Lepisosteus oculatus: one gene and its partners. Each later gene encodes a partner of the first gene's protein in a complex. Links are inferred from orthologs where the notes say so. Each region holds a gene or a part of one and is shown on either strand. Other genes may lie near its edges. The genes, in order: bnip1a, vti1b and stx5a.

Region 1 (11,266 bases):
GAAAACGGACTGAAGGCACGTCACAATCCAAAATGTCAGGAAGTAGTTATCATCTGGCTTTTTTCAGCTCCAACTGAGCTGGCCGGGCTGAGGTGTAGCCGTTAGACACTTCCCCCAGCGATTTAGCTCCACCTGAAATCCGCCTGGGACATGCTCTGCTTCTCGAACAGGGCTGCACCCCGGCAGAGATTCGTTATCCTTAAGCCAACAGAGCCGTTTTCTTCCCCGATCCCCCAATTTTTAACTGGTATAGCTTCACTGCAAACAAATAACACACGCCATGAAGACTTTCCTACCACGTCAAGAGACATTCAAATTAGCCATTGTAGGATGCTTCCTTAAAGTACATTGACTCTTAACTTCTGGAATGGAACACGGCTAATGAGGATATTGACAAACATAAACAATAAAAAATGACAACAAATGTTTTATGCAGCCCAATTTATCCATCTTAAAGTTGTATTTGGCTGCTTTGCATTTCTTTGATCACGTGATGGAAATAAGAACTTATAATGATAGGTATTAGAACATTAGACATGAAGCAGCAGTGTGAGCACTGGCAGGACTTTGGACTGGAAGGTTGTGGGTTCAAATCCCATGACACAAACAACACAACCGTTGTTCCTTTGAGAAATACTCCTGCCTCATACTGTTCAGAACAAATGCTTACTGAAACATTTTTTACGAGCAAAATGAATTCTTAATAATCTTCAGCTTTAGGTTGATCTATAACTGAATTGGGCAATTCTGCTGCAGTTGAAAACAGGCAGGGTGCAAAACATTGTTAAAGTCCACACCGAATAAACTCAGGACAATTTCTTGTTCCTTTTTTTAGGCCCACCAGGTTACCACAATTTACCATAAAGGACAGTGCTGTTAGGAATGCTCAATGTTATCTAACACAACAACTTTAGAGAAGAAAAAAAAAGGCATGTGAAACCTGTAAAATCTGTATATTTTTTTCCATGATACAGTAAAGTATTTCCAAGATTTTCTCTACCTAGAGAGATCGGCCCTTTAATTTCTCAATTCACCAATGCAGCAGCCTGTTAATCAACAGCTTTTTTCCTAGTGAGTCAATGGCCTTACAGTCTCCACTTATACCTGTGTCAGATGAAGGTATAGAAGAATAGAATACAGATAATTTCCAGCTGCACACTTTCATATTCAAGCACAAAACTGTCAATGATAGCATAACACTAAACTTTGTGATCGCCTTTATTCAATAATGGTCCATCTGCAGATTGCCACTCATAAAGACTGAGCAAAGCCATCTATAACAATGTGGCTCCACTGTCTGGTTATAGTTTGTATAACTGCAAACTGTGTCACAGCCATTGACCAAAGATGCAATAGACTCTGGTATTCCTGTATCTGTCATGCTGGATAGACCCTCATACACTGAGGTACACTGAACAACAAAGACTGCTCTGCTCTGTGAGTTGTGCGTCGTCACTCTACAAAAAGTAAAAGAAGGCAGGGCTATCACCACAGCACAATACCACACCTTGATGGTCAGGAATGTGTAACCGGTAGCTGGACAGGTGCTGTGTAAGGACAGCGGTGGGGAAACAGGGGGCTCTCACTCACCCAGGGTGCTTATAGTCTCCTCGCTCTGCTGGACCTGCTGGGACATCAGCCTGCTGATACTCATGAGGCTCTCCGTGATGTCACTGGAGGTCTGGGCAAGGCTCTCTTTGGTTGTCTTTCTAAGGACAGAAACGATGGAACAGAAACAGTTCAAATACTGGGAATCCACAGTGTACAGCTCTATATACAAAGATGTAACCCTTTATTTATATGAGAGCAGAAGTCACAAGTAAAAGGGGGCCTTTTGAGCCATCTAGCTCATTTGGATGCTAGTAAATAACGATATTAACTATGCATAGATATAATTATGTATTGCTGGAAATATTCGATTTTTAAGCACATTCTAAATTTTTGTATGGAAATGTCTATTTGAGTGTGTCCCACACATATTTCAAATGTGAATGAAAGGTTTTAGCACCGCTGTGGTTTTTGATGAACTGCGGTTTTTGGTGTATGAGCTTTTATTCCTGGATCAGCATTTCATGATTAGATGACCATTCTCAACAGGACACAGTGCCTCTATCCGTTAGGGTCGAATATATCTTTGTCCAGGGTTCTTTACACAATCAAGTAATTCCTACCTTTGCCTCACTGAAGAATCCCTTCCCTGTAGCAGCTCATCCTTCTCCCAGTTATCAATGGCTAGTTTGCAGGCCAAGTTAGCCTTTCTCCATGCAGTCTGATTACTAAAATATAAAAGATTCAATGAAAGAATGAAAGAAAAAAAAGAACAAAAAAAAGCTCTTCCTCGGTTTTGTATTAGTACCTGTAGTACTCACTAAATCAACACTGCTAGAAGGTTATTTAACAACTGAGCAGCTTACAATCCTTTTAAAACTCATTTTAAATGTCAGTGAATTTTATTTTATGCCCTGGGATAAGCTTAAAGAAACCAAGTTATGGATATGCGATATTTCCAATAACTGTGATGTCACACACCTGATAAAAACTGGCAAGTCTCAAGGTACATAATATTTTGCGCTACATCACTTAGTACAGGTAGTTATTTGACCCTAAGATCCCAGTTATGTCTTAAAGGATGGAAAACATAACTTGAGCTTAGTTTGGACACCCACTTCTTTTTGTGTAAAAAATGCATCCCATTCTCAGTCCTAATATACTCTCTTAATTTCCAATTGTTTCTGGACCCTTATTGCATTATTAAAAATAATCCAATGAATACCAGTTTTATCTAACTTTTGTCTAGCAAGTTCCTTGTAATCTGCTGTGTTCAAGATTGAAAAAACTGGGCTCCTATACAGAGCTAGTTATTCTCTCAAATAGAGAGCAAATAGCACTAAGATGTGTAGCAGTCCTACCTTCCAGATGTCTTCCAGTTTTATCAGAACTGGGCTCCTGACTAATCAGCTTTATGAAACTCTTAATTTAACCACCGTGTTTGACTTCCAAAGGTTCTCTGCACTCAGGATTATTTTAAATCCTAATTTAGGACTGAGAATCTGCATCAGGGCTTGGACACGCAGAACATCTTCGTATGCACCATTTCCAAGAAATGCTGGAAAAAGGCCACTTTTTCAAATTCATTTCAACATAGCTTTCTATAAAACTAAGGTGTTTTAATGATGTTCATACACAGATGGGAAAGAATGTAAAACACTAGCATTATATACATTCTCGCTGATGTATAGACCCCCTGTTTGATTTCTCATATGAAACAACAAAGGAAAAGTTTCTGGTGTAGGGTAAATGCTGATTTCTTATTTAGTATTCTGATTTAGTATTCATGAGCTGAAATTTCATTGACAGAAAAAATTTAAAAAACAAAAACTGAAAAAAGGCAGGAATGGACTGGAATTGGGAAACACTGCCTTAGCATACCCTGATCAACTTTTCATTTTCTAAAAATCTCTTCCCACCTCACCTCAGCATCTGTTTCCGATGTCCCTCCATTTCGTTCAGTATGGCCAGCTTGTCCGATTCCTTATCCTGCTCCTTAGCCAGTTCCGCCAGATCCTACGAAAACATGGACAACGATACACCAGCGCTGACAAGAAAAGGCTGGAATTCAGGGAGGGGAAATCCATTATGCAGCTGTGAGAACCCCAAAACTCTGATGATAAAAAAGCTGTTTCAAAGCCTGATGCTTTGATGCTCAGAGCCATGCACCATCTCCATCTTCACGACATGTGTATTTATACACTAAAATCACATCTTCTTGTACCACTCATCTTAAAAAACAGAGGTTCCTAACCCTAACACTCTATCGACTAGTTTTTTTATCTAAGTGAGCGCTGTAATCAGCAGCACTAATTGATGCCTTTAAGTCTAAACTGCTTGCATTTTGGTTTCTGTACACTCAGTTTTGAATGTGGTCAATGTAAACCCAGAAGAGAACGACAGTTTATCATACTTTCTCACAGGGATCATTTTAGTTAATTCTGCGTTACTTGTGAGTTCTGAAACTGGGCTGATATCCACCATGATGTCATTCATTTACCCTTTTAACCTTTATTGACCCTATGGGAATTTGTCTTTAAGCTGAAAACATAGAACATATATCCAAACAGGAAATTAATGCAAATTAACCATAAGCCAGTAGCAAACCTGTAGATAATTACTGATATAAACCTAGTAGATTTGTATAGGTCGTAGGCTCGATATAGCCTCAAAATGATCAATCGCCATTTGTTAATTAATTTGACCATGTTAGGTCTATAGAAGACCCATTTAAAGATTAAATCAAAATGAGAACAGAAGGCTCATCTTTACACAGAGGGTGGTGGGAGTGTGGAACAAGCTGCCCTGCTATATTGCTGAAGCTGATACATTGTGTCCATTGGCCCTGGGTGGGCCAAATAACTTCCTCTCATTTGTAACTTCTTTTATTTATCCAGCAGGGTATGTACTGTAGTAGTCTAAATACGTTGCTTAAGGGTACAATAGCAGCATCCAAGTCAGAATATGAATGAGCTTTGAATAAAAAAACAGCAAAGACAGGTCACTATATGAAATAAATCTTACCAGAGCTCAGAGGCGTATTAAATGACTCACTGGTAAAACTGTGCCACAGAAGTACGGATACAGACATCAACTTAGTTAGTCGTTAAAACAAATACGTAGTGATAGCATGCTGTGTTATTTGAATACACTTTCACGTATAAGGTTTTTACTCACCTGTATCCTCATTCTCAGATGATTGAATTTCTGTTTTACTTGAGAGTTTAAGTCCGTCAGCTTGCTCTGTGGTCCCGGACATTCTCTAATATCCTTAAGCAAAAAAAAAAGGCAAGAAGCTCACAAATAAAAGTATAATAACACAGTAAACGGTTATGCTTTATTGTGTCTGAGTGCAACACACATTCCTCAATAGGGGGCTAATAACCAAATATTCCAATATTGGCCAATGTATGATTTTTTAAAACTGAAAAAATAGGGTTATTTCCAAATTAATTTTATATTCAAAATATTTTAATGAGATTAGATTTTAATTGTGGAAACTACTTAATATATAGTCAATGTTTAATAATAATTCATTGATAGTTCGTCATATTATTACTTGACCCCGTCTTGCAAGAGCTAGCTAAGTAGAACTACATTTGCCGGTTACGTGTGAAGGGATCTCAACCTTTTTCAAGTAAAATAAATAGATGTAAACAATCTGATTCGAAGCACCATTTAAAATATATATTTATATATAATTATAAAATATATTTATCGTTCTCACCTGAATGAGGGCTTTTATTTCCAAATCATATTTGATTATTTCTTGTCCACAAATACGGACGTGGACATCCGGCGAGGAAGCCATCTTTGAACGCAGACTACGGGGCCTCACGAGGCTCATTGCGGCAAACTAAACGCCTTTTTCCCCTCCTTTCCTTGACGTGCTAAGGGAAACAACCATTTCTCTTCTGTTGCAATACATTAGCGCTTTGTGAACTGAAGAGTAAAAACAACGTTGTTTAATTGGATTTGCATACCACACTTTACTTCCAGTTGCAGTGTACCTCCAACTTTGTTCACAAAGATGATGCTGTGCCATGCCTTTAAACGTGTTTTAAAGCCATTACAGTCTGCCAGGGAATTATGCCCACGTTTTGTTGCTAGGAAACGGTGACTTTAATTACCCGTGTTTCATAATTCCATATGACAACTTCTTCTGCATTCATGCTCCCAGATAAAGCATATTTTCTTTTTGGGGACAGTTTATATGTCTTGAATAGTGCTGTAAGTTTTCTTAAGAGTAGCACAGTTAGAATGCAAGCCTATTTTTCCTCTCTATGCATAGTGCTGGCATGTATTGTGTAGTTCTACACATACTTGCAAATCCTTAGTTCTTCTTGGATTATGTCTTGAGTGATATAATATGTGAAATACTATATATTTTAGTACTATATCATTGTTTTGTACAGCACCCGTATTGAACCTAGACTTTTTCACATAATCTTATTAATTTTACTGTGCTTGCATGTTCGCTGTCCTTGTACTTCAACTTAACGTAGAATTTTTAAGTATTCTAAATTGCCTCAGATAAGGACGTCAGCTAAGTTAACAATAAAGTATTTCTATTAGGTAAGAAAACCACCGGCCACATCCTTCATCCCCAGCCCTCTCTAAACTGGGGCGCTGGTTTCAAGGAAAATGATGTCACATCTTCTGCAGAGGTGACCAGTAAGTATTGAGGAAGTGACACTGGCTGAATCCCCAGCACCAGAGCAGATATGTGGTGTGGGCAGAGAAGGACAGAGGAGGGAGGCTGCGTTCTGAGCTCAGAAACAGGCGCCCTAATCCTCCAAAACAAAAGTCATCTGATTAATCTTTCTCCTATTCTCCTGCTGGCGCCGGCTTACCTCAGTGGTTGGGGTTAGCCCAGCTCCCTTTCAAACCAGCCACTTGTATTCAGTTTTATTTCGCATAAAGCTGTTTCTGGTTCCCAGGATGCCTCTGAAAGCTGAATAAATGTTTGAACTAACAGCAATATATGTTGTATATGTTTAAACATACAGTACACATGTCTGCGATGCATCTATGGACACTTCTTTGTTTTAATAATTCTCTAGCATGAAAAGGAAAAGTTGATCTTTCTAATTCCTTAAAGATCAATGCCTTGAATTGCTCTGTTTTTGCCGTGTCCTGTTCACCTTACAGTAAAGAGCCGGGTGATGGTGTGGCTGCCCACCATTACATTTCACAAACGGAATTGTATAAAGAGACGATAGGCCCTAATGTTAGTAAATCAAAACTTGATATTTCCCCACACAGCAGCTTATTCTGCTACAGCACTGGAATGGTCTGTCAACAAGATGACTTGGTCACTTATCCCTTATCCCATGTGAGATTCCTTTTTTTGGATATTCCTTTTATGAATATTCCAAGTCTTCTTCACATCTTCTTCCTTTAAAAGCTAAAAGTTATTTTCCAGTGTAGTTGTTCTTGCAGATCTTCCTGTTTCATTTCTCCCTTGCAGCAGTTACAGGGCGAGCAAACGCTAAAAGCCATTCGCCACTCTTTGTGAAGCCAAAAGGTCTGCCTTCCAAGCTCCACCATTTCCTTTGAAGTGCAAAGAAGCATGACACTAACCGATTTCCAGAAATTGTACACAGCTTGTAATCCTCACTTGAGTCCTAGTAAGGTGTGTCATAAAAAGACACAAAGGGAATTAGAAGCTACAGTAAATGGCCAGAGTATTAACTGCCTGAAGGATACAGTTCCTCCTAAGAATATCTAATGTCTTCAGGCTAAGGTGCTCCAGAAATTTGAAAAAAAAATCTCCCAAGCCAGAAACAGGCAAAAAATAGTTATTACAATAACTCTTATTATAATATTCAAATAATAATTTGATTAAGCCTTCGCCACTTTTCAGATATTTTCTTTTAAGTTAAGCATAAGAGTCGAGGGCAGCACAGTGGCGCAGTGGCTAGCATCGCCACCTCATTATGCCGGGAACCCTGGGTACAATTCCTGGGGCACTGTCTGTGTGGAGTTTGTATGTTCTCCTCACGTTCACATGGATTTCCGCCTACAGTCCAAAGAGATACCGGTAGGTTATTGGCTTCTGGGAAAATTTGATTGAGTCTGTGCCTTTGCGTGCCCTGCAGTGGTCTCTGGCGATACATCCAAGTATCCTACCTTGTGCCTGTTGTTTGCTGGGATAGGCTTTAGCTCCCCCGTGACCCAGTATTGGATAAAGTGGTTAGAAAATAGATAGATGGATAATGGTCAAGTGCAGTATATTATTTCTCATGGCATTTATGTGGGTTTGAAATGAGGTGTCCCTCTTTCTTAGGCATGGAAAAGTACTCAAGTCAGCAGACAGACATGACATCCTCTTTTAACGCAATAGAGCAAGGAACAGCTTGAAACACAACCTGGGATTAAAACCGCACAACTGGTGGATCTGTGACATAGAACAAGTCTCAAATGTGGAAGGGCACGGACACTGTTAAAAGAAAGCAGTAAAAACACAAACGGCAATATCGTTTCTAACATTTATTTTCGTATTAAAAACAATAATGGAATTAGACTATCATGGTTACAAGCAACTGTGGTACCAACTCCGGGCTGATACAATGCGGTGAAATTAAAAAAAAAAAGAATAAAGAAAGAGAAAACCAAGAGGCACAATTACGCATATAAAGGATCCTTTAAAAAAATCGATTAAGATCGAACTCAGTCTAATTTACTTCTGTACATATACATGGTGTTTGTTATCCAGTGATTTTTCTCTAATAATGATAACTGTGCCTCGAGAAAAAAAAACAGCACAACAATTAAACAACATAAACATAACAACTGTTTAGATATTGTGTTCAACAGGCATATATGTGAGCTACAGATATAGACATGACTAGTAGGATCAAGTTATTGTTAGTTTCAGCAGGATACACAACTGCAGATTTGCTTAAAATGTCACCAAAGTTCTATTACAGAGCATTTAGCAATGAAGTACAGCCTTCCTAATGAGATACAAAGTTACACCTGGGAAGTACACACAACAGTACTACCTATTAACAAACCCCATGCTATTCATCTAGGAGTGACGTACCATACAACGTTAAAAGCGTCTGTGTGAGGGCATGGTTCGTTTTATTTTTAAAAAGGACATTACTTAAATTGCCTGTCTTAAAATGTTGTATGGAATTAAGTTTAGCCTTTTTGTGACATTTGGTTTTACTTTCATTGTATTCTTAAATATCAGTCTTTCCTTTGTTCAAAGTTTGGAAGGAAATGTAATTCATTGCCGGGTACAGAAATACAATGTCATGTATTGTGAGGAGTTTTTATTTCAGTTTCATGTATGGTGGTCCCTGTACAATGTCACTGGTGTCAGGTACTGAGAGGTCAGAGATGACACTTTACTGATAAGCAGATGTGTGCCAAACAACAAGAGTGACCCAAACGGACGTCATCAGATTAAGCACAGTACAAAACCAGCTGTCTGAGCTCTTCAGTGTAACGTGTCTTTATTAAACCCTCATTAAAAGGCTAAATTCATATGACATCATCTTACAACAAGCTGCTTAAGGTCTTACACATCTACCACCATGCTAATGCTTTATGAACTTCACAGCTTGAAATCCTACTTTCTGTGAAGATGCTCATCAAGAAAGCTGCTGAGCAACACTTTTCTGGGGATATTCATGACTTCTCATATTCACTGATTTACTGATGTGGCGCTGCTTGCACTTTCACATCAAAGTAAAGTGAAAACCTTTTAATCTAGTACATTTACTCTGAAAGAAGCCCTTTGCATTTTAATCGGATTTAACTTTTCATTTCCGTAGCTGTGCTCATGACAAGATAGTTTATACGTCAGAACACTACTAAAAATGTTCAAAATGTCAGTTCAGGTCACGGTTTTGGGTTTCGCGGTCTGATAAATCGATGCTGACTGTTTCAATAGAGGTTTCTGTACACCTCCCAACACTTCTACAGCAGAAAATGTGAAAAGACAGACCATGCATGTCTGGAACCAAAAGGGTTGCTTAAGAAGCATTTACAGATTCAATCGGAAGTCAACAGGCCTACCCTGTTTTGTGTCGTTTACCATTTGAACCTTTATTGTTCACTGGTGAACAGCTGCAAAAGGCCAGGTGCTTTTGTATTTAAAATTGAACTGTAGACAGCAAATGATACGGAAACGTATTTACTGAAAGTCAAATGCAGAGTCAGTAGGCACATATATATGTTAATTTTTGAAGGGACACAAAATGAAAGGTTTAGCCTTGTCCTTCCTTTTGATACGTTTAAAAGCATCTGTAAATTAGGACTTCATTTCAACATCCCTGCTTGTCCCAGTCCCACATCCCCTTACTAACATTCCTTTTGGAAAGTAGAACACAAGTTTTTGTTTTTTGCTTGATTTAGGAAAGAAAGAGGGGGAACAAAAGAAAACTAGAGAAAAGAAAGTGGTAGAGGAATTCAAAAGGCAAAACGTTTAATCTAAATTCAAACTTGTGCAATAAATTACAGATTTAGACCATAAATACAAAAGAAATACAAAATATCAGTTTTACAGAAATAAAATAAGTTAACCACAGAACATACAGAAATCGTGAATGAGGAAAAAAATGCTTAAATTATTGTGAATCAAAATTTCAGCACTCTTTGGATTGCTTTACCCATTGTTAAACTGGACATATCTTTGCTATTTTTAGTTTGATTTGTATCAATCCTCTCACGGAAGACTACATTCTGCTGGAGGGTCAACTTTTAGTGAAAACTGTACCTGAAACAGACCAAGTACAGATTTCAACAGAAAGCCACCACACTCCTTCAAAACTGTCCAAAATTCTTGGCATGATGGGCTAACTCAGCTTAATCACAAAATCAGATATTTATGTCAAACATTTAACAATCAAATAAGAAAACTTGAACATTTTTCTCTCTTAAGTAAGGCACCTGTTAAAGCAGGCATTAATTTGTTGTATTAAAAATAGGTTTGAATTGTGAAACCCACTGCAATGCAGTGGATATATTCTGGTAAATTGTGTTTGTACTTTTAATTTGAATTAGTGGATTTAGAAATACAATGCATACGGACTCATATTGATTTAATAAAAAAATAAATGGCCTTCTCCTTGTGCTGGCAGAAATCAGATATCCCATCTTTAATCCTTCTATATTCGTTGAATGTGCATTCTGTAACTTACATCTCCTGAAATATACTGAGTGCCATTAAAAATGCAACAAATGGTATTGGTCACGATATTAATTTATTGTATTTTTAATGCCACTCTATATAACACACCTACTCAGAATTAAGGGCACATGGACTGGGGGTCAAGGCTAATACATTCTTAGAGTTCAGAAAAAACTTTCTATCAGGAGGACCTGCTTTCAAAGCCACTGCTATAGAAAAAGCTCACAAGACCTGTCTGATTTTGAGAACAAATTCTGTCTTCGTGTATCTCTTAAGGCAAACTGACACCTCTGACAGATGAGATACAAAGGACAAAAAATGACAGAGGTGACACTACATCGTAAGTACTATCACACGATTCCTGTAACAAGAGCGGTTCAATCTGGGAAGTGTATGTAATTTTAAAATGGATAAAACGTTTAATGCAGAATCCACATTTTTGAGTCCATATGTTCACAAATGCCCCTCACCCCCCAAAATACAGCTACAGCATTCCTCTGGTTAAAAAAGCTTTTGAAGCAGAAGTTTACTGAACATCATTAAGACATTTTGCAAGCATGTATTATGAGACTG
Region 2 (10,846 bases), on another chromosome or scaffold:
AGGACATTCAAAATGGGCAGACTGAAAAGCCCTGAACTGGAATTAAATACATTCTATCAAGCCATTATCCTTACAGAAGGACTCAAACAATTTTAATTAAGCATTATAAATGACTCCTGATTCTTTCTGCTGACTTAATTATGTTTAACAGCATTACATTACAGCATTTTGCTCCAAAGTAATATTTACTTTCACTTGTGAATTATGTATTAAAGTTTAAAGATGAAAAAAAAACAGTGGGAGTGTGGAAAATGAATACATTTTTCTATTGACCATGTCTCACAATTTTAATTTTCAGTAAGCATAAAAAGGGCTTTGGAAGTTGTCTAGTACTTATTTCTATACAAATCTAAGATGTTCAAAAGCCTTTTCCTTTGGCAGTCAATTGTAAACTTGGAAGTTGCATCCAAAACAAGCAGAGCTTTCTCATTGTGCACTGTTAGCCAGGTCTTTCAGGCTATCTGTTTCACTTCTCCTAACAGAGTGTGGATGGGGGGGGGGGGCAGAGAGCTGCACTCACTCTGTCTCTGGTGCGGTCCAGCTGATCTCTCTGCTCTCCCAGCTCTTCGATGATGTCTGTCCCAACCTGGTCCGTCTCAGCTGCTATGCCATGAGATCGCTCCAGGCTCTGCGTGGCCCGGTTCAGAGACTCTGTTCCCTGCAAGAGCAGGGCTCTTTGAGACTGCAGTTGCGTCTGAAACATAATAGACTAGGTCAGTGTGGATTCTAAAACATCAAATACTGGGACAGTGGCCCAGTATACTAGCCTGATCAAATTCTATTTTGAAATTTGTCTCTCATTTAAATGGACAAAATGTGACACATGTGAGAGCTATTCTCTAAACTTTGCAAACAGTAACTAGTTCCTGCAGGATGAAAAGAGTGTTAAGAATGAATTTCATTCTTGTACATTTCAAATAATAATAATAATAATAATAATAATAATACAATAAAATCCTAAATTGAACAGGTATAAAATCCGTTATCAGATAGTCTAGAAAGGTGAATATCTATGTTACATACAGAAGAAAGAAAAAGTTGAGACAGAACTTTCAGGCTTTCGTACTGGAGTTAACTCCTCTCCAGGACAGCTATGCTAGACTTACACTTTGCTCATTCTCAGCAGCAAAAACTCCATATCTGCCCTCTCCTCGAACCCCAAACCCCAAACCCAGGTCTGAGCTCTTCATCTCACGCTGCAGCTTCCCCAGATCCCGCCTGTAAATGCGGATCTTAGTGGTCATTGGGTTTTGAAAGGAAGGAGGAGCTCCAATCAGTTCTTTCTCCATCTCCTGGAGCTGCAAGTACATTTAAAAAATGTTACTTTACAAACACAGAAATCAAAAGTGTAGTATTTTTTTTTTACTTTGACCCATTCTTCCTTACAGCACTGCTTCAACTCAGTGATGTTGGTGGGCTTTCTTGCATGAACACCCCGCTGCAATGTTCTTCTTGGAGAGTGGTAGCTTCCTCCTTACTATCCTCCCATGCACACTCTTCTTGTTCACTGTTTGTCTGATGGTGAACACTGACATTAGCCAGTGCAAAAGAGGCCTGTAGATCCTTAGACGTTACCCTTGGGTTCTTTGTGGTCTCGTGGAATATTACACACCTTGCTCTTGGATTGATTTTTGTTGGACAATCACTCCTGGGGAGAATAACAATGGTGTTGAATTTTCTCCATTTGTACACTATCTGCCTGACAGTGGATTGGTAAAGTCTTTAGAAATTGTTTTGGAACCTTTTCCAGCCTGATGAGCATCCACAACTCTTTTTCTGAGATCCTCAGAAATCTCCTTTGATCGAGACATGGCATGTGTTCACAAACCTGTGTGGTGAAGACCAGACTTTGGTGGTGAAGGCTCAGGTTTATGTTTTTTAAACAGGGCAGGGCCCCCCAAACTCACACCTGATTGTCATTCCATAGATTGACACTCCTGAATCTAAATTATCCCCTTACCTGAACAGGTAATATTAGAGGTTCACATACTTTTTCCAACAAAAATCATTTTGATCAATAAATGAATAAAAACATACATCATTTTGTGTGTTACTTGTTTTACTGGGTTCTCTTTATCTATTTTTTTTTACTTAGATGAAGATCTGATCACATTTTAGGTCAAATTCATGCAAAAATTCAGAAAACTCTAAAGGGTTTACAAACTTTCTAGCACCACTGTAGGTAGATACATACAGGAAAATACTACTACAAATAAGTAAGTGTTGCTTGGCAAGGACAGATATGAAATGTTTCACAAATCTGCAACAAAGGTCAACAAACATGGGGGGGGGGGGGGGTCTAAAAGCCACTGGGCTAAATTCAAACATGGAATTAGCAAAGGACTGGTCCAGCACATTTGATTTATTTGGTTACAGGGGAAGTCAGATACAAGCCAAATGTAAAAGCAGCTCTTCAACTGTTCAATTAGTTGATATGGTGACTGAGTAAATTATAGAACTTATGGATCTAGCTGACAATCAAGATCTCCCCGGACAGCCTTAAAACCCTGTAGAGCACAAACATTTAAGAATGAAAATCCCACCTTATCCTTTCCTTACCATTTCCTCTGCCTCTCCTACTTTTTCATCAAAAACTCTCACATGCCGCTTCCTTTCCTCTGAAAGAAGAAAGGTTTTAGAGTTGTGCTCATAGCAAAAAGGTTCAAGTTGCATGCACTGGCATACCTATATTTAAAAAATGCTTGCTCGCTAGAACATCTCTTGTGACCCCAGCTAGGGATTTAGTGCTGTATTCACTACCTCACCATCCCTTACGTATAAAATATTAAATAAGTATAATATAACACATTACTGCTGGTTCCAAAGTGTCCTGTTCTTCCCTAAGTAACATTTCTTTCATATTCTAAAGCAAGTTGTAGAACTTTAAGCAGGCACCAAAGAGGCAGTAAAGAGGTTTTATGTTAAAACTTGTATAGATAAGCACTGAAAAGGAAAGTTATGTTGTACACAAGATTTACAAAAAGCATTTGATTCAAAATACTATTTTCAGAAGTTAAATCCCATTCATCCATTATCTTACTGCTTCATCCAATACAGGGCTGCTGGGGAGCTTAAGCCAATTTTACCAGGTGCCAATTAATCTACTAGTGAGTTTTTGGACTGCGGGAGGAAACTGGAGCTCCCACAGATAACAGACACGAACACGAAGAGAACATACAAACTCCACACAGATAGCACACGAGGGCCATTGCACTGCAAGACAATTTCCTAAATGTTACACCTATTACAAGTAATGTTTTAAAAACGTTCAAAAGAAAGAACAAAATGTGGACCACATATTCTTTGAGGTTCTTGTGTTTTATATGAAATTGGTGACAGTGGTTTAAAACAGTGAAGTTGGTTGCTATAGATGGGTTATCCTGAACAATTTAAAATTCCTCTGTACATTTTCTGTTTCTCATCAGAGGTCTGGCCTAAACCGCCTGTTCCACCCATGACACTTTTATGTCCAAATAAGTCATATACTGCATTATCAGCAAAGAATGCAACCTTATGTGAGTTTTAAGTATCAATCCAGATGAAGGCAGCACCATCAGGAGCAAGTCCTTACTACCAAACTTGTCTCTCGGAATGAACGGAACCAAAATGGGAATGAAATTAAAATTCTGATATCATTACAATTTCATGAGGTTTTCCGAGTTCAGGGCTTCTCTAAAAGAAGAAAACGTCAAAGAATTTTTGTTCCAGGACGTTTTGGATAAATGTTTTATAATTTGTAACGTTTGCACTGCACTTTATAAGTCTCTTGTTTTGTATGTTGCCGTTCTACAAACTGTACGAAAGTTTTGCATTTTATTGCATTTATTAGAATTGTGCATTTCCTACGTTGCTTTGTCGATCTTTATTTTTTTAATATTGAATATAAATTTACTTGAATATTTAGAGCGAATTCTGCGCTCTACTTGCACAGACACATTCGTAAGCCATTCTGTGCCTCTTCAGTGATAACAGAATCAAGGTAACAGCTCAGTTATTCCTAGTACCTTCCTGGAGCCTGTATTCATCTCACGACACCGACTGTCAGCAGCAATAATGATAATATAGACTTCTGACATTTATATTTCACTAAGGAGCTAGAAATCCCAAACGTTGAATTGAGGTAACGTTTTAAAATGTCTCGTTAATATATTGTGTTAGGTTTTCCATCGGAATATTTATCGAATGTGAAGTATTTCCAATTAATATTATATATATTATAATTCCAATGAATTTCTGGTATTTTATTGATTGAAATTCCAGTTCGACTTTCGAAGCCTTTCTACTTACCTCCATAACATCGGGACACTCGGTCTGGCATCACTTTTAGCTCTTCGAAAAGGGATTTATAAAACTCATGCAACTTTTCAAACTCTTCGGAAGACATTTCAGTATTTGTGTTTTGTTTCAAGGAACCAACCGCGTAATTCACCTACAAGTCAAATATAAGTACGTGAAAACAAAAGATTATCGGGACTCCTGGTAATGGTCCTTGCATTTTAGACCACTTTTCGTTGCCTGTTTTGAAGGGATTAACATTATAAGAAGAATAGGTACAATAATAACGCCATATATGCTACGTTATAAAACATGACATTATCTTAACTATTTTTTTAATTACAAGACTTGAAGTTTCCCTCTCAAATGTGTATTTTATAAAGGCTTCTACCAAGGAAAACTAAAGAGCAAAGCTTTATGGACAATGTAGTACTCGGAATGTGTGGGAATGAGCTTCACATGATTAGTGACCCTTTAAATTGTTTTATCTGCAAATATTACAGTATGCTTTCTAAAAAAAAATAAGTTTTTTGTTGTTTTGAGTGGGTATCATATTAATTGATTTATCTAAATGACATATCTAAATGATCTTTTAGAACAGTAAACGTTTCAACAAACCTATAGTGTCCCAAAAATCTCAGTAATCGTCCTCTAGAAAGCCGCCTTTCAAGACAAATTAAAAGATTCGTATACAAGTATATTTACGTATACTTTTATTTTAAATGGAACATCTTTAAGATTCTCTCGGGTAGTTACAGTTTTGTGCACCCAAAACTATGCCAGCTATCAACCTTGTAGACTTTAAACTTAAAAGCAAGTAGTAGAATAACTCGAGTAGAATAACTCTTTGTATGCTACCGCAAAGACTACAGCACTTAAGAGTTAATATTTTTCAAAGAAACGTAGCCTGATACTATTAGACGAGGTTTAAAGCAGAGCACATATAGTGTAAATATGTAACGTTTATCAGAAATATAACTTTACCTGTTGAGGATTTTTTTCCCAGACATTTTTTAGAACTTTTATTTTGAAAGCTTATGAGACTAGGAAGCTAGTTATTTTAAGCGACGCGAATGATCCGGAAGTGTATGTAAATAGCCGAATTTCAATCAAAATAAAAGCCTTCAGCTACCACAGGAGTATAGTATGAGGAGTATAGCAACATTAAGCTGAAACACCTGCTTTGTTATTTCTTCGTGGGTAACTGTAATTCCTTGAACATTCTGCCAAAATTTGAGAGGGTCCTTTTTAATTTTAAATCGTATCCACTAATCTCCAAGTTTGACAAATCTAAGATTATTAGAAGTTTTTATTAATTTTACAGCACCTTTCTTCCATTTATAGTACTGTAAAAATTGTCATTGTTATATTCTTTTCATAGACATGTTTTTTTCCTGTCCAATGAAAAAGGTTTTAAGATGCAAGCTTTTAAAGGAGCTGTATCTGAAATTTCTAATTAAATCAAATCATTTATTATATTTTAATTCAGTTTTTTAGACTATAATCAAGGGCAAAAACATTTTTTTTGCACCATCAAAAGTGGTGAAACATACAATTTTAAGACAGTCAGACAATAGCAAATCACCCTTTTTTTGTCAGATAAGTGGCTCTGTCAAAACTGCTGGGGTTTATAGAGCACCTCCCATTCCCAGACTGGGACCTCTTCAAAAATACCTCAGATCTATTCTACAGACCCACGGCTAATAGAAAATAACTGTGTTTTTTTCAGATAAGTGTTTTTGCTAATGTTACTGGGGTTTATAGGACCGCTTGCTGTTCCCAGACTGGGACTGTGCAGTGATGGACAGGGAAAAGTGTAAACAATAACCGTGATCCCAACCAAAGTAATGCTGACACTGAAGATCATAGTATTGTGACCAAAACCATAGCTGTGACACGGAGTAACCATACAATATAAAAAGGTTCTTAGACATAGAGTGGATGACTGGCACTGTTTTGAAAAGGCAAAAACTGTAATGCATCTGTAAATCATCCAACAGGTAAAAAACACAAAGGTGGAGTGTGACGCTTGCAATGAGTGGATTAATTTTGTTTGTATAGGTATGAGACAGAATGACAAAGATATTGATTCTGTAGGGTTTCTGTGTTGCTCAGAAAATTGTGATGTTAAAGCCACGGCATTAAAAACTGGGTTCAGTTTCTTGAACAAATGTGAAGCAATCAGCAGTGTAATACATAATAAGTTAGATGTAACCAAAAAAAAGTAAAATTGATGTATCACGTCAGCATTGGTGCTCAAACAGCGCTGGATTATCTCATTTGGGGGGCTTATTGTGGTAAGACAGACAATAAACAGATGGTTTCCCAGGATAGGGAGGTCGAGCTAAATGGTGACACAGAAGTGGAAAGTAGTATTGCATGTAGTGCATCCGTCACCCAAGGAAATTGTTCCTCATGTAATTCCCTCAAAAAGTAAAATGCACAGTATGTGCAGAAGTGATGTTGATGGTATGAATCTACATGGTAGGTGTTATGAGAAACCCCGGAAATTAAAACACGAGCACAGTGGTAATTTTCCAAAACCAGCTAAAATAACCAAGGAAATTTTGCAGAGTCGGCATGTATATCTTCAGTGTCATAATTAATTCAGTGGGATTAGAAGATCTCTCTGCTCATATTTATGATACCTGCATTTTCATGGGTAGTAGATAAAATAACACACTTGTCACACAGTCTATTTCCAATCTCAGAAGTCTAGTGTCACAACTGAACACTAGCAGTGTCCCCACTGTTACAGGTGCTGAGGACTCAGATGTTGATTTTGGATGCATAGAGAATGTGAATTCTCCATTTATTCACGATTTAAAAAAATGTACATTAAGGCAATGACAGATATAAACAGACAGGAGAACAAAGAGCCCAATGACTATTTTGGTTCAAAACTTGTTTTGGAAAAAAAAAAATCCTGTCGTCAATCTCAATTTGGACAGACATACTAATGGGTAGATTTCAGCAAGATGGATGGACTACATCAATTTCTGAGGTAAAGCTCAAAATGAATGTGTGGAAAGGTTAGGAACTCTTTACAAAGGAAATTAAAGGGAATTTTGTGATAAGATAAGACTGAATTTTTCTAGAATAAGTAAGTCTCCTGCCCTTGTGGAAGAGGAGGAATGGAACAAGAAAATTCCACAACATCTCAGGCATTCATTCCAAAAACCCCCTATCAAGACAATCAGACATTTTTAGTCTAAATGATACATGCAAAATTTATGGTCATCCAAATGATTACAACAAGCCACCTATCATTACATTCTCAAAAACAAGTGCTGGTTAAATTTTGTCATGTAGCGTGTTAGTAACATGAATGCAATGCAGACCAAAACAAATATTAAATTATTTTCTAAAGGTTTTAAGATTATGCCTGGCTGTTTACTGAATTTGGTCAAACCTTCCATCAACAACCTTAGCAGCTACTTTTCAAAGCCAGTGTTAGATGAGATATGTGAAGTAATATCTTCAGTAGATTTCAAGAGAGAAATTTACCCAGCCAATTTAATAATTCCCCTTATGTCCTGGTTTGTTTGTGGCCAAGTAAACAGTATTACTTCCCATGTAGACTTTTGCTAGAACTGTAGTTTCCTGCATACCGAAAGACGTGAAGTCAGTCATTTTTTGCTTGCACAGATAGCTGAGTTTTTCATGAGTTAATCGACCCTCATACACAAGTCTTTGCTAGAGAACATAGTCACACAGAATTGCTCAAAGTGTTAGCAAACAGTGGTCTGGAAGCAACAATTTAGCTCTTGTCCACAAACTATTGTGATTCAGATTCCCAGAGCACATTCCACTGCGAACTGCAGTTGGAATTGGAAAGTGTTGGTAAAGTGCAATGTACAATTAAATCAACAATATGCCATGAAGGAAAGTCTATAAACAGAGGTGGACATCATTGGGCGGTACTTTTGTGCATTGGACAGAAATTTAGAATTAAAGCAAATGATCAATACATCACAACACAGCCAACACATAGCATAGACCAAACTAATTATTGTGTTTGTTTTCTAGAAATAAGGGAGGCATCAGACAGAGACATATATTGGTCAAACCATGTACTCACTGTTGAGAATGCCAATACTCATGAAACACAAAAAAACCTGGAGCCACTGAACAGTTACATATCAACTCTACTGCATAGTAAAGAGGCACTGAAAGAGTCTTTGAATAGCTTGCAATCAGTGACAAAGAAACAGACAGCCTTACCTGTAACAATACACAAGACTTTCAAGACCCTTCTGGGATCTAAAGCTATTCAGATTTCCAAAAATACGTGTAGATGCCGAACCAGGTAAAATTGACATAGAAGTTTCGTGAGAAATTCTCTAATATTAGATTCTATCATCCAAAATTGAACCCCGGAGGGTTTCTTGCAGTTCAATGAGGTTTTTCCTCCCCCCTGTGCTGTGGAGAATTTATGTGTCCAAAGGATAATAGGCCAGACAGCTGAAGCAGCATTTGAATGCTGTCTGAGTAGTTCTACACTCAAAATAATAAAAGCTGATGTAATTTAAGAGAAAATCTGTAGTGTTTTAATACAGAACACTTACAAGGCATCTTTACTTCCCAGTCTTTCGGAACGCATGGGGGGAATCAATTAACAACTAGTACTTGGGCAACATGTGAGCCACCGTTTCCACATTACTGGATCAAATCAAAAAGGCTCCATACCATGTCTGTGGCAGAGCCACCTTCCCAGGAAAGATACATCACCATTGAAGGTCTATTCAATATTTTGGCTGTTTCAATACACTCTAATAAATTTAATAAAGCAGAATACCAAAGTTTGATAATATGTCTTACATTTACACTCCAAACAATTATCCCATAGACAGTAAGGAAAAAAGTGTGAAATTGACACTTTATTTCAAACCAGAAAGGATAATCCACTGGTGAAGTGTTAACAATGCCCACATTGTGATATCATGCCCTTCGAGACAAATCTAGTATCGGCCACTAAAAGACCCCTATAAACCCCAGCAACATTGGCAAAGGACGCTCATCTGGCAAAACCATTAGCTGAGTACTATAGTACTATTAGCTGAGGATCTGTAGAACAGATCTAAGTCACTTTTGGAGAGGAACAAATTTTTATTTGGTCGGGAGGGGAATGAGACCACTCCCTGTCCATCACTGCACGGTTCCAGTCTGGGAACAGCAAGTGGTCTTCTAAACCCCAGCAACTTTAGCAAAGACACATATAATGACAAAACCTCGGTTATGTACTATTAGCTGAGGGTCTGTAGAGTAGATTTGAGGTATTTTTGGAGAGTGCCCATCGCTGCACTGTCCCAATCTGGGAATTGGAGGTGCTCTATAAACCCCAGCAGTTTTGACAGAGGTGCTTATCTGAGAAAACCATGGTGATTTTCTATTAGCTGAGGGTCTGTAGAATAGATTGGAACTACTTTTGGAGAGGCACAGTTTTTTTTGTCAGGAATTATACTTTTCCATGTCTAGCAATGCACAGCTCTGTGTCAATTTGCAAGGAGAAAGTGTTATAAAAACACCAATAAGATTGCAAGAGAGCAAAAAAATTAATGAAGAACGGCAATTCCTTATTACCTGTGGGTCTATTTATCACATTCCACCTAGTTTTGAGGATGAACAAATTGTTGTTGTGACTATAAATGTGACTTTAACTGGCCCAGGATTATTTTTTATGAGGCAGGTTTTATGGGACTTTTATTTTGAAAGGTGCTGACAAGCCAGCGCCGCTTAATGTCGCTAAATTCACGCTACTCAATCAAAGTAAAAAGTCCTTCAGCTATTACAGTAACGTACAGCTGAGCAAAGAGCAAGAGTAGCGAGCGTGAAGAGAAGAAGAGATACATGTAGGTGAAGGGGGAAGGTTACAATGTTGACATTAATTGCAATTCTAGGTGTCATCGGAGTCCTCTGGTACTTATTAAGGGGTTACATCAGGTAAACGAGTGTCTTTTTTGCAGAGTTTTAATTCGGAGTCGTGATTTTCCCAACAGATGGGTGGATAACATTGATTTCTCATTTGTGATATGTACCATATATGTTTTAATTAGGTTGGACAACTGAAAAAACTGTCACCAAAATTATTTCTGTAAATGCTTTAGAAAGCACCTAAATAGCCAAATTCAGCTGTCCTGACACTTCAGTATTGTGTATCATTTACGATGCAAGGTCTTGTCTAATTTTACAATGTAGTAGTAGTAATAATAATAATAATAATAATAATAATAATAATTGCTTACACTTATATAGCGCTTTTCCGGACACTCCACTCAAAGCTCCCCTCCACCACCACCAATGTGCAGCATCCACCTGGATGTATTGTCTAATGATACGGTATCTTTACTATAATTATTTCAATAGAGTTGAAATTATTGTGCACTACACCTCTGTTCTGGCGTCTTCAACAGTTTTTTGCGAAAATAAATAAGCAAATACATGCACATATATTGTAAACCGTATGATTGGAATACCTGTTAAACGGCCTGTCGTATTAGTAATCGCCGGTAATTTTGTTTGGCGGATTAATAAAGGAATACAGCATCTAAAATTGAGAAGTAGTCATACT
Region 3 (10,962 bases), on another chromosome or scaffold:
TCCCTCCAGGACAACACTCACCTCTGTTCTCACCTCCAGGACCGACTTGAAGTCGTTGGACATCGTGGCCAGCTTGGACTGCAGGAGCGAGAGCGAGAGAAGAGAAGAGTGAGCATTGGTCTCCTGCTGTGTCCCAGCATCCTCGTCCGCGGTCTCGCTGGGGCTCGGGGCATCCCGTTTCTAACCTGCGTTTCACCGGGGGGCTCACGAGCGCCCCCACGCGCCCAGCGGACTGGGCTGAGGGGGATCACCCCCCCCTCCTCGCTGAGTTTAACAACTCATCAGATTTTACGTCCACTGGTTTGTATGAGGCCGCTTCAGATCCAGCGGAGGCACAAAACGTTGACATAAAGCTTTTCTGTCATCGCCTCATTCTGACTCATGAATATTCGCCGACAGGCGGTGTGTTTTGTACGCTGAGAGACGCAAGTACTAAATATTCAGTATTCAACAGTGCAAAGCTCTCACGTACTGCCAAGTTTACCTTATTTAACCGACTTTGACCACTTTGGAACAAACCTGGTCATGTGAATAGAGGCGTTACCTTCCTCCCACTGCCGTTTTTGTGCTGGGACAGACGAGATGAAACGGATTTAGCGGCGCAAGACTCTGATTAAGCAATCTGTTGCCAAGTTTTCCTCAGCCGGGCCTGCTCAGCGTGAAGGAACATGCTGCCTCGCCGCTTGTGCGCAGGGACAGACCAGACGGCACCCAGTGGCCTTTTAAAATAATTCCCTGCAGACGTGCACTGAGCCACTGGAGGGGAGGCAGTAACAGCAGATGGCACTCAGACCCGGAGCCAGCGAGCGACGTCACACGAGGGTGCCCCTCGAACCCTCGCCCGCGCAGGCCCGCAGGCAGTGCGGCGGGTGGGACACGGCCTCTCTCCCTCCCCGCGGAGGACCTGTGGGCCGGCGGGCCGGACTGACCTGCAGCGACACCACGATGGTGTTGGAATGTGTCTGGATGTGCCGGCCGGACTGGCCGCCCCGCGACCGGACCAGGTCCTGCAGCTGGGCAATCTGCTTGTTCAGGCTGTTGATGTCCTGCACAAGGAAACAGAGACCATGACAGTCAGCTCCGAGCCCATTCCAGACACGGTATCCCCCGGCCCAGTCAGCTCCGAGCCCATTCCAGACACGGTATCCCCCGGCCCAGTCAGCTCCGAGCCCATTCCAGACACCGTCTCCCCCGACCCAGTCAGCTCCGAGCCCATTCCAGACACCGTATCCCCCGGCCCAGTCAGCTCCGAGCCCATTCCAGACACGGTCTCCCCCGACCCAGTCAGCTCCGAGCCCATTCCAGACACGGTCTCCCCCGGCCCAGTCAGCTCCGAGCCCATTCCAGACACGGTCTCCCCCGGCCCAGTCAGCTCCGAGCCCATTCCAGACACGGTCTCCCCCGGCCCAGTCAGCTCCGAGCCCATTCCAGACACCGTATCCCCCGACCCAGTCAGATCCGAGCCCATTCCAGACACCGTCTCCCCCGACCCAGTCAGCTCCGAGCCCATTCCAGACACGGTATCCCCCGACCCAGTCAGCTCCGAGCTCAGTAAGTAATACATCTGCTCAGCCACTTGCCTGCTTGATGATGTAGGTGAGCTCCTCGATCTCCACGGCCTTGTCATCGAACAGCGACTTCCTCTTGGCAACTGCAAAACCCCAGAGACGCGTCACATGACCGGCACGCACCACCGCCCTCGCAAGCTCACCCACCACAGCACAGCGGGGAAAGTGTGCTTACGTATCGTCAGTTTCTCCAGTTTGGCAAAAGTGTTGCTCAAGTCCTTCCCAATCCTCCTGTGGGCGAGAGACAAAGAACAGGGAGCAGAGGTCAGCGGTCAGCGGTCAGCCCCGCGTGTCCAGCCTGTCACTGACGCCTGGGTTTACAGTGTCCGGATGGCCGAGATCCGCGTGACAAGGTGGAGACGCGTGAAAGGCGGCGGTCAGCGAGCTGGAGAGCAGGGGACTCACTTGGCCATGATGGTGAAGTCGCTGCGTTGCTTGACCGCGCTGAGAGCCGGCTTGTGGACCTGGACTCCATTCTGGCAGAGCAGAGACACAGAATGAGCCTCCTCTTCCTCCTCCTCCTCCTCCTCCTCCTCCTCTCCCTCACCCCACTGATCAACCCTCTATACCTCTCCTATTGCCCTCTCTCCCTCCTCCATCCTCCCCCTCAACCCTCACATCTTCAGCCCTTCCTCTCCCTCCCCCGCCTCCCTCCTCCTCTTCTCTCCTGTCTCCCCCACCTCCCTCTCCTCTCCCCAGTACCTGTCTGCCCTGCAGCGACTTGCAGGCGGAGAGGAACTCCTGGGTGCGGTCCCGGCCGGACATGGCGTTGTCGGTGGCGACGGGGAGGGGGGGGGGCCCGGCAGGGGGGGGGCAGTCCTGCGCTTGCGTCTGGGAGGGTCCGAGATACACGCCCTGCTCTGTGCTTCTAGAACCGTGACGGCGTCTCGTATACATTGAGGCTCCGAAGCATCACCTGCCGGACAGGAGGACAACCGGGGGTCAGTGGACTGGACAGGACTGGACAGGCCCCACACCCCGCGCCGGACAGCGGGACCGGTCCCCTCTGCGCTGGGAGGAGGCTGGCGCCAGCAGCCTCTACCTCAACCCTGCTGCAGCAACACAGGAACAGTCCCCAACAAGACTGAAGGACACCTGGACAGACACAAGCCCTCCCACTATAACTAGAACTCTGTTCTACTGGACCGGGACTGGAGCCCCCAGTGTAACAGGACTGTCCTACTGGACTGGAGCCCCCAGTGTAACGGACTGTCCTACTGGACTGGAGCCCCCAGTGTAACAGACTGTCCTACTGGACTGGAGCCCCCAGTGTAACAGGACTGTCCTACTGGACTGGAGCCCCCAGTGTAACAGGACTGTCCTACTGGACTGGAGCCCCCAGTGTAACAGGACTGTCCTACTGGACTGGAGCCCCCAGTGTAACAGGACTGTCCTACTGGACTGGAGCCCCCAGTGTAACAGGACTGTCCTACTGGACTGGAGCCCCCAGTGTAACAGACTGTCCTACTGGACTGGAGCCCCCAGTGTAACAGACTGTCCTACTGGACTGGAGCCCCAGTGTACCAGACTGTCCTACTGGACTGGAGCCCCAGTGTACCAGACTGTCCTACTGGACTGTATGAACCAGTTGCTGAACAGCTGTTTTGCTGAAATAAATAAAATAAGCATTTTTAAATAAAAAGGTTTAAGAGAATAAAGTGTACAAAGAATCACAATTGACCTTTCTGTGTTATCGGCTCGATAAGCGTTAAGATTTAGATTTCACCGAGCTGGGGGGTTGTTATCTTGTCTCAGGACCGACTCCAAAATTTTCGGTTTCTGTTGAAATGAGAGGATAGACTCAGTCAGCACAACCAGCGCCCCGCCTCTTCCCACGGCGGATTGGCCCACCAACACGCTCATCACCGCCCCCTGTGGACAACGCTCTACGCTATTGGTTCAGCGAACGGGCCACTACCCCCTCGCAATCACGCCGGGACCCCTATTGGCTGTCCCCGCTGCCACTCCCCGCCGACCAGCTGTAACCTCAGCGAGCGGCGGTTGGCAGCGACTCGCGTCAATCAAACTACCCGGGGGCCCTCATTGGCCGCCTGAGACGTCAACAACAACTTCAGATGTCTCCGACAGCAGCTTCAAGCGGTCTTTAAGGCTACTATTAAAATAAAACCCCACACCACACACTCCAATCTGCACTGAAACAGGTCGCGCATTATAACCGAGAAAACTCCAGCCCCCCCGAACCGCCGACAGTGACGGACAGAGCAACTGCGGGTCACTTTCAGACTGTTAAAAGCCCCATCTACCCTTCCCGGATAAATAACTCGACATTTTAAAAACACAAAGGAACGGGTGTCGGGGAAACCCGACCTCCCCCGGCACCCGTGCCCCCAGCTGGGGAGGTGCGCACCGGCGGTTCGCCACAGGCCTCCTCTCTCTCCTCACCGGTATGTCCGCGTCTCTCTCCGGTTCCGCCGCCGCGCCGCTCCGTCTCCCTCCGCCGCTGCGTTTCAATCCGGGTCACTCCCCGGCCGCTGACGTCACAGCGCCACGTCTACCAGCGGGCGTGCCCCTCCTCCCGGCCTGACGTCATCGCGCCGGGGGGCGCGGCCAGGACAGGTGCGGCGTCACGGTTCCTGTTTCTCTCTTAGAGCAGAATTAGACCATTCACTTTCGTGGATTGAGTGTGGAGACTGGTTTGGTTAACCTTGATGCTCGTAATAAAAACGGACTGAGCGAGAGGGTGCAGGTAGCCAGCACAATGACTGGTGCACAACAGCTACAACTGCCGGACATCACGCTCGATCACACAGTATGATCCCTGACTGCCATGATCACCCGTCGCACGGTGATCCGAGCTCTTCCATCTCCTTCCAAGACTCAGGAGCAGTAGGACTGAGTCGCCGTCCATTCCCCCAGCTCCTGGCCTGCTCAGAGTGGACAGCTGGCTGGATGTGTGCTCTATTTATATACAGTATCCGTGTTTGTTAAGGAGCTCGTGTTGTGTAGAATGTGTTGTGGCCTTTCCCTGCCTGCGGAGCCCCTGGACGAGAAGGCCGAGTGCAGTAGGAGGAAGGCGAAGGGTCGGTCCAGTCCAGTTTGTCGTTTGTGCAATGAGATGGTGTCAGTAAGCGCTGATGTGCAGAGAGACACTGGCTGGGGAGACAGGACCCTCAGACTCACCGGTGAAGGCACACACACAAACACACAAACACCACACAGACAACCAACGTGTAGTTTCTCGAAAGGTGTGAACAGACCTGCTCCGAAAGAATCCACTAGATGGCGCTGTCGGACTGCATTAGAAGAGGCTGCTCAGAGGATCAGGGAGGTCAGACAAGAGCCATCCGGTCTCTCTCCCTGTCCCTTCATCTGTCTGTCTCCCTGTCCCTCCATCTGTCTCTCTCCCTGTCCCTTTATCACACACCACACTGACACACACACCACACCTGTTGTGCAGATCGCCCCTGCAGACTGGAGTCCCCTCTGTCCCTGTGGCCAGGCTCCTCGGACAGCGCAGTGCTGGCGGCGAGCAGCAGGGGGCAGTGCAGACAGACCCGCGCCTGCAGTTACGGACTCTCAGCTTCCTCATCACCTCCAGCAGCTCGTGGACGAGGGGCGTGTCCCCACGAGGAGTCAGTGTCTCCTGTCCCGGGAGACACCCAGCTGTGTCCTCAAGGGGCGCTTATTGCCCTGCAGCAGGAGCAGGAGGGGAGCACATGACCCTTGACCTTTCACCTCCCTGCTCCAAGTTCATGTTAAATTAAAACACAACACGACCGCCGGACCCCCGTGTCTGACACTGGCTGAAAACCGCAGGGGAGGGAGTGAGAGAGACCTGGCCCTGCCCTCTGCCCTGTCTCCCCCTGCTGCTGCGGACCAGACTGTAACTCCTGGCTGCCTCTCCCCTCGTCAGGACTCTCGGCTCCCAGGACAGCGAGTCTGTAAATATTATTGTCTCCCAGCGGCAATCAGGCTCCCCCCACCGTCCAGCCCCCCCAACGCACTGTTTTTCTTTCATTAGTGCAGGAAGTGCTGAGGTTTCTGATTATGACAAACACACAGCTGTCTGCTGTCTGCTGTCTGCTGTCTGCTGCAGGGCTCAGGTGTCAGACCGGGAGGACAGCCGGTCCGGTGGTTCAGGTCCAGTCTTGTTAGATATTCTAACATTTAAAAAATGGATCAATATGCAAATAGAAGAAATTAATCCAGAAACAAGCCAAAATAAACGGGATAAAGTTGAAAGACCACTCGGAAACACCTCATTTAAAAAATAAGATTTCCTTTAATAGCTTATATGTGACATATATTGTTAACATTGTTGTAGTACTATCTTTAGCAGAATATATATATATACTTTCATCAATATTGAGAGCTTTACTACACACACAGCACAGAGAGACGCGTGGGAACTCACAGCTGGACAGGAGGCACAGCAACAGGCAGATACAGGCTGGGGCAAGTCTGAACTGTCACCGCAGGGGTCTGGAGTCAGGAGTCTGACCGATTACATGGCAAAAACCAGCAGTCTGATCCGCTCCAGGTGTGACAGTGCTGTCAGACTCCCAGTGTGCAGCAGTCTGATCCGCTCCAGGTGTGACAGTGCTGTCAGTCAGACTCCCAGTGCGCAGCAGTCTGATCCGCTCCAGGTGTGACAGTGCTGTCAGTCAGACTCCCAGTGCGCAGCAGTCTGATCCGCTCCAGGTGGGCAGGGGTGTCGTGTGTGTGTGTGTGTGTGTGTGTGTGTGTGTGTGTGTGTGTGTGTGTGTGTGTGTGTGTGCGCTGCTGGGAGAGACCGAGCCAGCACAGGGAACCAGAGCTGCTCTGGAGAAATCCCACTTCTCATCCCCAACTTTCCCTTCGGCCTGGTTGGCATCGTCACAGTTGCACAACAATTTTCCATAAATGAAGAGCTCATTCCGCTCTGTTCATGAAATCACTCTGGGGAGCACCGGCGCCCCCAGCATTGGGAAACAAGAACAAATAATAAGACAAATGTAGACAATTCTAATAGTATTAAGATACACATATTGCACTCAGTCCTAGTGTGACAGAACAGTTTCTTCTCTCCCTGTCTCCGAGATCAAGGTGACTCTGACACTGGACCGGCAATCTCTGGACTGCAGGGGTGCAGTGTGACCCAGACTGGACAGTGATCTCTGGACTGTAGGGGTACAGTGTGACCCAGACTGGACTGTAGGGGTACAGTGTGACCCAGACTGGACAGTGATCTCTGGACTGTAGGGGTACAGTGTGACCCAGACTGGACAGTGATCTCTGGACTGCAGGGGTACAGTGTGACCCAGACTGGACCAGTGATCTCTGGACTGCAGGGGTGCAGTGTGACCCAGACTGGACTGGTGGGGTACAGTGTGACCCAGACTGGACCGGCGATCTCTGGACTGTAGGGGTACAGGGTGACCCAGACTGGACTGTAGGGGTACAGTGTGACCCAGACTGGACCAGTGATCTCTGGACTGCAGGGGTGCAGTGTGACCCAGACTGGACTGTAGGGATACAGTGTGACCCAGACTGGACTGGTGATCTCTGGACTGTAGGGGTACAGGGTGACCCAGACTGGACTGTAGGGGTACAGTGTGACCCAGACTGGACCAGTGATCTCTGGACTGCAGGGGTGCAGTGTGACCCAGACCGGACTGTAGGGATACAGTGTGACCCAGAGTGGACCAGTGATCTCTGGACTGTAGGGGTACAGTGTGACCCAGACTGGACCACTGATCTCCAGACTGTAGGGGTACAGGGTGACCCAGACTGATAGATAAAACACGATAAGCCCAACATAGATTAAAATAAAACAAATAAGAAATAAATATGTCCATATTTTATTTTCACATAAATAAACGTTTCAGTGCATATTTCATGATAATAAGGACTTCTCTGCCTTCTTTACTGAGTGTATTTACATGTGCTGGCGTCACGTGAGCTGTACTTCTGCAGTCCGCAGGTCCGAGCCGGGCGGAGCCTGGGCATTGTGGAGCCCGTCTCCGAGACGGAGGGTCATCAGAAGGCACGTTAAGGAAGCAGCATGCCGAGCGCTGCCTGAGCTGCCCCCACTCGTTTTGGGGGCACCGCTGCCTGTCAGGGGGGATTGGACAGCCCTGCCCTCAGCGCAGGCGCGCAGGCATGAGGCTGGGCAGCTACAGTCTCCTCGAGGGCCAGATGAAGGCCAATCAGAGACACTGCAGTACAAAGACACTGATGATGATGGACACATTTATAGATAGATATACATACATATAGATTCATTTCCTTAGGAAAAAAAGAAGCGTATTTTTTGTTTGTTCTGTTCATTGACATCATTCAAATGTGTCTTTCCAGTCCTTAGCTGGTCTGAAGTGTGCGAGTGTGTGTTGTGTGTGTTGTGTGTTGTGGTGTCAGTCCCCTCCCTGGCTGTAGAAGCAGGGGGCTTGTTTCTCTGGTGTTGCTCCAGGAGGGGCCCCAGGACGGCCGTCCCGCAGCAGCAGCCCTGTCGCCGGGCATCACCGCCTCCGGGGCTCACATCTGGAACACAGACAGCACCTGGGCGTCAGGGCGACAGGCAGCAGGGAGAAGAAGTCCTGCCCCTGATCAGCAGGAGCACAGGGGTCTGAGGGGTCTGAGGGGGTCTGGAGGGGTCTGGAGGGGTCTGAGGGGGTCTGAGGGGGTCTGAGGGGGTCTGAGGGGGTCTGAGGGGTCTGGTGGAGTCTGGAGGGGTCTGGAGGGGTCTGAGGGGTCTGGGGGGGTCTGAGGGGTCTGGTGGAGTCTGGAGGGGTCTGAGGGGTCTGGAGGGGTCTGAGGGGGTCTGGAGGGGTCTGAGGGGTCTGGTGGAGTCTGGAGGAGTTTGGGGGGGTCTGGAGGGGTCTGGGGGGGGTCTGAGGGGTCTGAGGGGTCTGGAGGGGTCTGAGGGGGTCTGGAGGGGTCTGGAGGGGTCTGAGGGGTCTGAGGGGTCTGGGGGGGTCTGGAGGGGTCTGGAGGGGTCTGAGGGGTCTGGGGGGGTCTGGAGGGGTCTGAGGGGTCTGGAGGGGTCTGGAGGGGTCTGAGGGGTCTGAGGGGTCTGGAGGGGTCTGAGGGGTCTGGAGGGGTCTGGGGGGGTCTGGAGGGGTCTGAGGGGTCTGGAGGGGTCTGAGGGGTCTGAGGGGTCTGGAGGGGTCTGAGGGGTCTGGGGGGGTCTGGAGGGGTCTGAGGGGTCTGGAGGGGTCTGGGGGGGGGTCTGAGGGGTCTGGGGGGGTCTGGAGGGGTCTGGAGGGGTCTGGGGGGGGGTCTGAGGGGTCTGGAGGGGTCTGGGGGGGGTCTGAGGGGGGTCTGAGGGGTCTAAGGGGTCTGGAGGGGTCTGAGGGGTCTGAGGGGTCTGAGGGGTCTGGGGGGGGTCTGAGGGGGGTCTGAGGGGGGTCTGAGGGGTCTGAGGGGTCTGGGGGGGTCTGGAGGGGTCTGAGGGGTCTGGGGGGGTCTGGAGGGGTCTGGGGGGGTCTGAGGGGTCTGGAGGGGTCTGGGGGGGTCTGAGGGGTCTGGTGGAGTCTGGAGGAGTCTGGAGGAGTTTGGGGGGGTCTGGAGGAGTCTGGGGGGGTCTGAGGGGTCTGGGGGGGTCTGGAGGGGTCTGGGGGGGTCTGAGGGGTCTGGTGGAGTCTGGAGGAGTCTGGAGGAGTTTGGGGGGGTCTGGGGGGGTCTGAGGGGTCTGGGGGGGTCTGAGGGGTCTGGAGGGGTCTGAGGGGTCTGGAGGGGTCTGGGGGGGTCTGGAGGAGTTTGGGGGGGTCTGGAGGAGTCTGGGGGGGTCTGAGGGGTCTGGGGGGGTCTGGAGGGGTCTGGAGGCATATGTGGGGGTCTGGAGGGGTCTGGGCTGGAGGGGTCTGGAGGGGTCTGGAGGCATATGTGGGGGTCTGGAGGGGTCTGGAGGGGTCTGGGCTGGAGGGGTCTGGAGGGGTCTGGGCTGGAGCGAATGGGCGCAGTCTGAGCCCCAAGAATGAGAAGGCGAAGGCGACTCACACAGGCCGACCGCGCTGCTGCGGTACCCCTCTGTCCCCACAGGTGGAGCCCCTCACCTGCAGGCGTGCCGGTTCAGGGTCCTGCCCTTCAGCTGGCAGCTCCGGGCCGTGGCGCTGCAGCGGCACTCACAGGTGCCCGGGTCCAGTACCCTGCGGCGGCCCACACAGGGCTGGCACTGCCTGCAGGGCAGAGAGGTCACTGCTTGACACAGGGGGACAGGCTCCCGTCTAGCAACTGCAGCCTTCAGGGGAACCGATCAGACTCCCAGTGCGCAGCAGCCTGATCCGCTCCAGGGCTTACAGTGCTGGTACTCAGACTGAGGCTGTCTGAGCAGACAGGACTGGAGTGTTCAATTTCATTTCATTTGTTAGAATAACATTTTCTATTCATAGGTCCTCTTTGTGCAAGAGCTAGTACAAGCTGAGCACTGGCAGCCCGGTGGCCTGTCCTGGTTCCTGCCTTCAGCATTCTTAACAGATACTTTTCTGAATTACAGCACTTAGATCAGCCCCTGTCTGGCAGGGGTAAGGGGTTACAGAGCTTTCAGGCTCTCAGAGATGAAGGATCTGGACCTCTGATTCAACCACAGATGGTACTGTAAATTCCCAGCCTGCTTTGCTCCTTGATAAGATGTTTCCACTCAATTCCAGAGCAGCAGGACTCTGGGAAGCTGTCCTGGAAATTTGGGAGAGGCTGATGGGTCACACAGGACTGATGTACAAGAAGGCCTCTCTGCTTGAGAGAAGAGGAATTTAATCTGCTGCTGTCTGTTGGAAAAAACCAGGACTTCAACTGATACCATTTCCCAGGTGCCACAGCTCCAGTGAACCTTTGAAAGGCACCATGCAGGGAGGAGGGCGCCCAGAGAGCGACAGACAGGCCTGTCACAGGGCCCAGGAGAGAACAGAGCTCACATCACCTGTCCGTCCTCATCGTCAGATCTGTAGAACAGCTACAGAGAAGCTGTAGAGCCCATAGACTGCTTCTGCGCTCTATGAGCAGTGTAAGAGACGATAGTGTGGATCAGACACATACCTCAGTGGGACTAAATGCACGGCTTTTTTCAGTCTGTAATGGAAACAGAGAAGAAGACACAGCATGAGCAGCTGTTTGACAGTGAACTGTATTTCTGCTAACAGTTCAGTGACTGCTGCACCACCAGGAGGACGACAAGAACAGCTCATGTGGACAGCATGGCAAGCTCAGAGGTGCACCAGACTGGACTGTAGGGGTACAGGGTGACCCAGACTGGACTGTAGGGGTACGGTGTGACCCAGACTGGACTGTAGGGGTACAGTGTGACCCAGACTGGACTGTAGGGGTACAGGGTGACCCAGACTGGACTGTAGGGGTACGGTGTGACCCAGACTGGACTGTAGGGGTACGGTGTGACCCAGACTGGACTGTAGGGGTACGGTGTGACCCAGACTGGACTGTAGGGGTACGGTGTGACCCA

The links.
Region 2: bnip1a (region 1) and vti1b share a complex: the UniProt entries of both Homo sapiens proteins name them as parts of the SNARE complex. The link is inferred for Lepisosteus oculatus from reciprocal best matches to the Homo sapiens genes BNIP1 and VTI1B.
Region 3: bnip1a (region 1) and stx5a share a complex: the UniProt entries of both Homo sapiens proteins name them as parts of the SNARE complex. The link is inferred for Lepisosteus oculatus from reciprocal best matches to the Homo sapiens genes BNIP1 and STX5.

The regions. Positions count from the first base shown.
Region 1 is NC_090706.1:27,784,681-27,795,946, forward strand, and holds the start of bnip1a (vesicle transport protein SEC20), read right to left. Parts: upstream 5,393-11,266; 5' UTR 5,360-5,392; coding exon 5,276-5,359; intron 4,819-5,275; coding exon 4,726-4,818; intron 3,565-4,725; coding exon 3,473-3,564; intron 2,277-3,472; coding exon 2,172-2,276; intron 1,710-2,171; coding exon 1,591-1,709; intron 1-1,590. UniProt on the Homo sapiens protein: As part of a SNARE complex may be involved in endoplasmic reticulum membranes fusion and be required for the maintenance of endoplasmic reticulum organization. Also plays a role in apoptosis.
Region 2 is NC_090703.1:26,309,042-26,319,887, reverse strand, and holds the start of vti1b (vesicle transport through interaction with t-SNAREs homolog 1B), read right to left. Parts: upstream 5,345-10,846; 5' UTR 5,260-5,344; intron 4,740-5,259; exon of another isoform or gene 4,430-4,739; 5' UTR 4,385-4,429; coding exon 4,288-4,384; intron 2,619-4,287; coding exon 2,560-2,618; intron 1,299-2,559; coding exon 1,107-1,298; intron 695-1,106; coding exon 521-694; intron 1-520. Other genes in the region: rdh12 (retinol dehydrogenase 12), read left to right, coding at 10,151-10,218. UniProt on the Homo sapiens protein: V-SNARE that mediates vesicle transport pathways through interactions with t-SNAREs on the target membrane. These interactions are proposed to mediate aspects of the specificity of vesicle trafficking and to promote fusion of the lipid bilayers.
Region 3 is NC_090713.1:23,127,014-23,137,975, forward strand, and holds the start of stx5a (syntaxin-5a), read right to left. Parts: upstream 4,060-10,962; 5' UTR 3,972-4,059; exon of another isoform or gene 3,937-3,971; intron 3,348-3,936; 5' UTR 3,250-3,347; intron 2,485-3,249; 5' UTR 2,466-2,484; coding exon 2,271-2,465; intron 2,045-2,270; coding exon 1,974-2,044; intron 1,800-1,973; coding exon 1,744-1,799; intron 1,652-1,743; coding exon 1,581-1,651; intron 1,047-1,580; coding exon 930-1,046; intron 79-929; coding exon 22-78; intron 1-21. Other genes in the region: vegfba (vascular endothelial growth factor A), read right to left, coding at 8,027-8,048, 9,563-9,685, 10,542-10,574. UniProt on the Homo sapiens protein: Mediates endoplasmic reticulum to Golgi transport.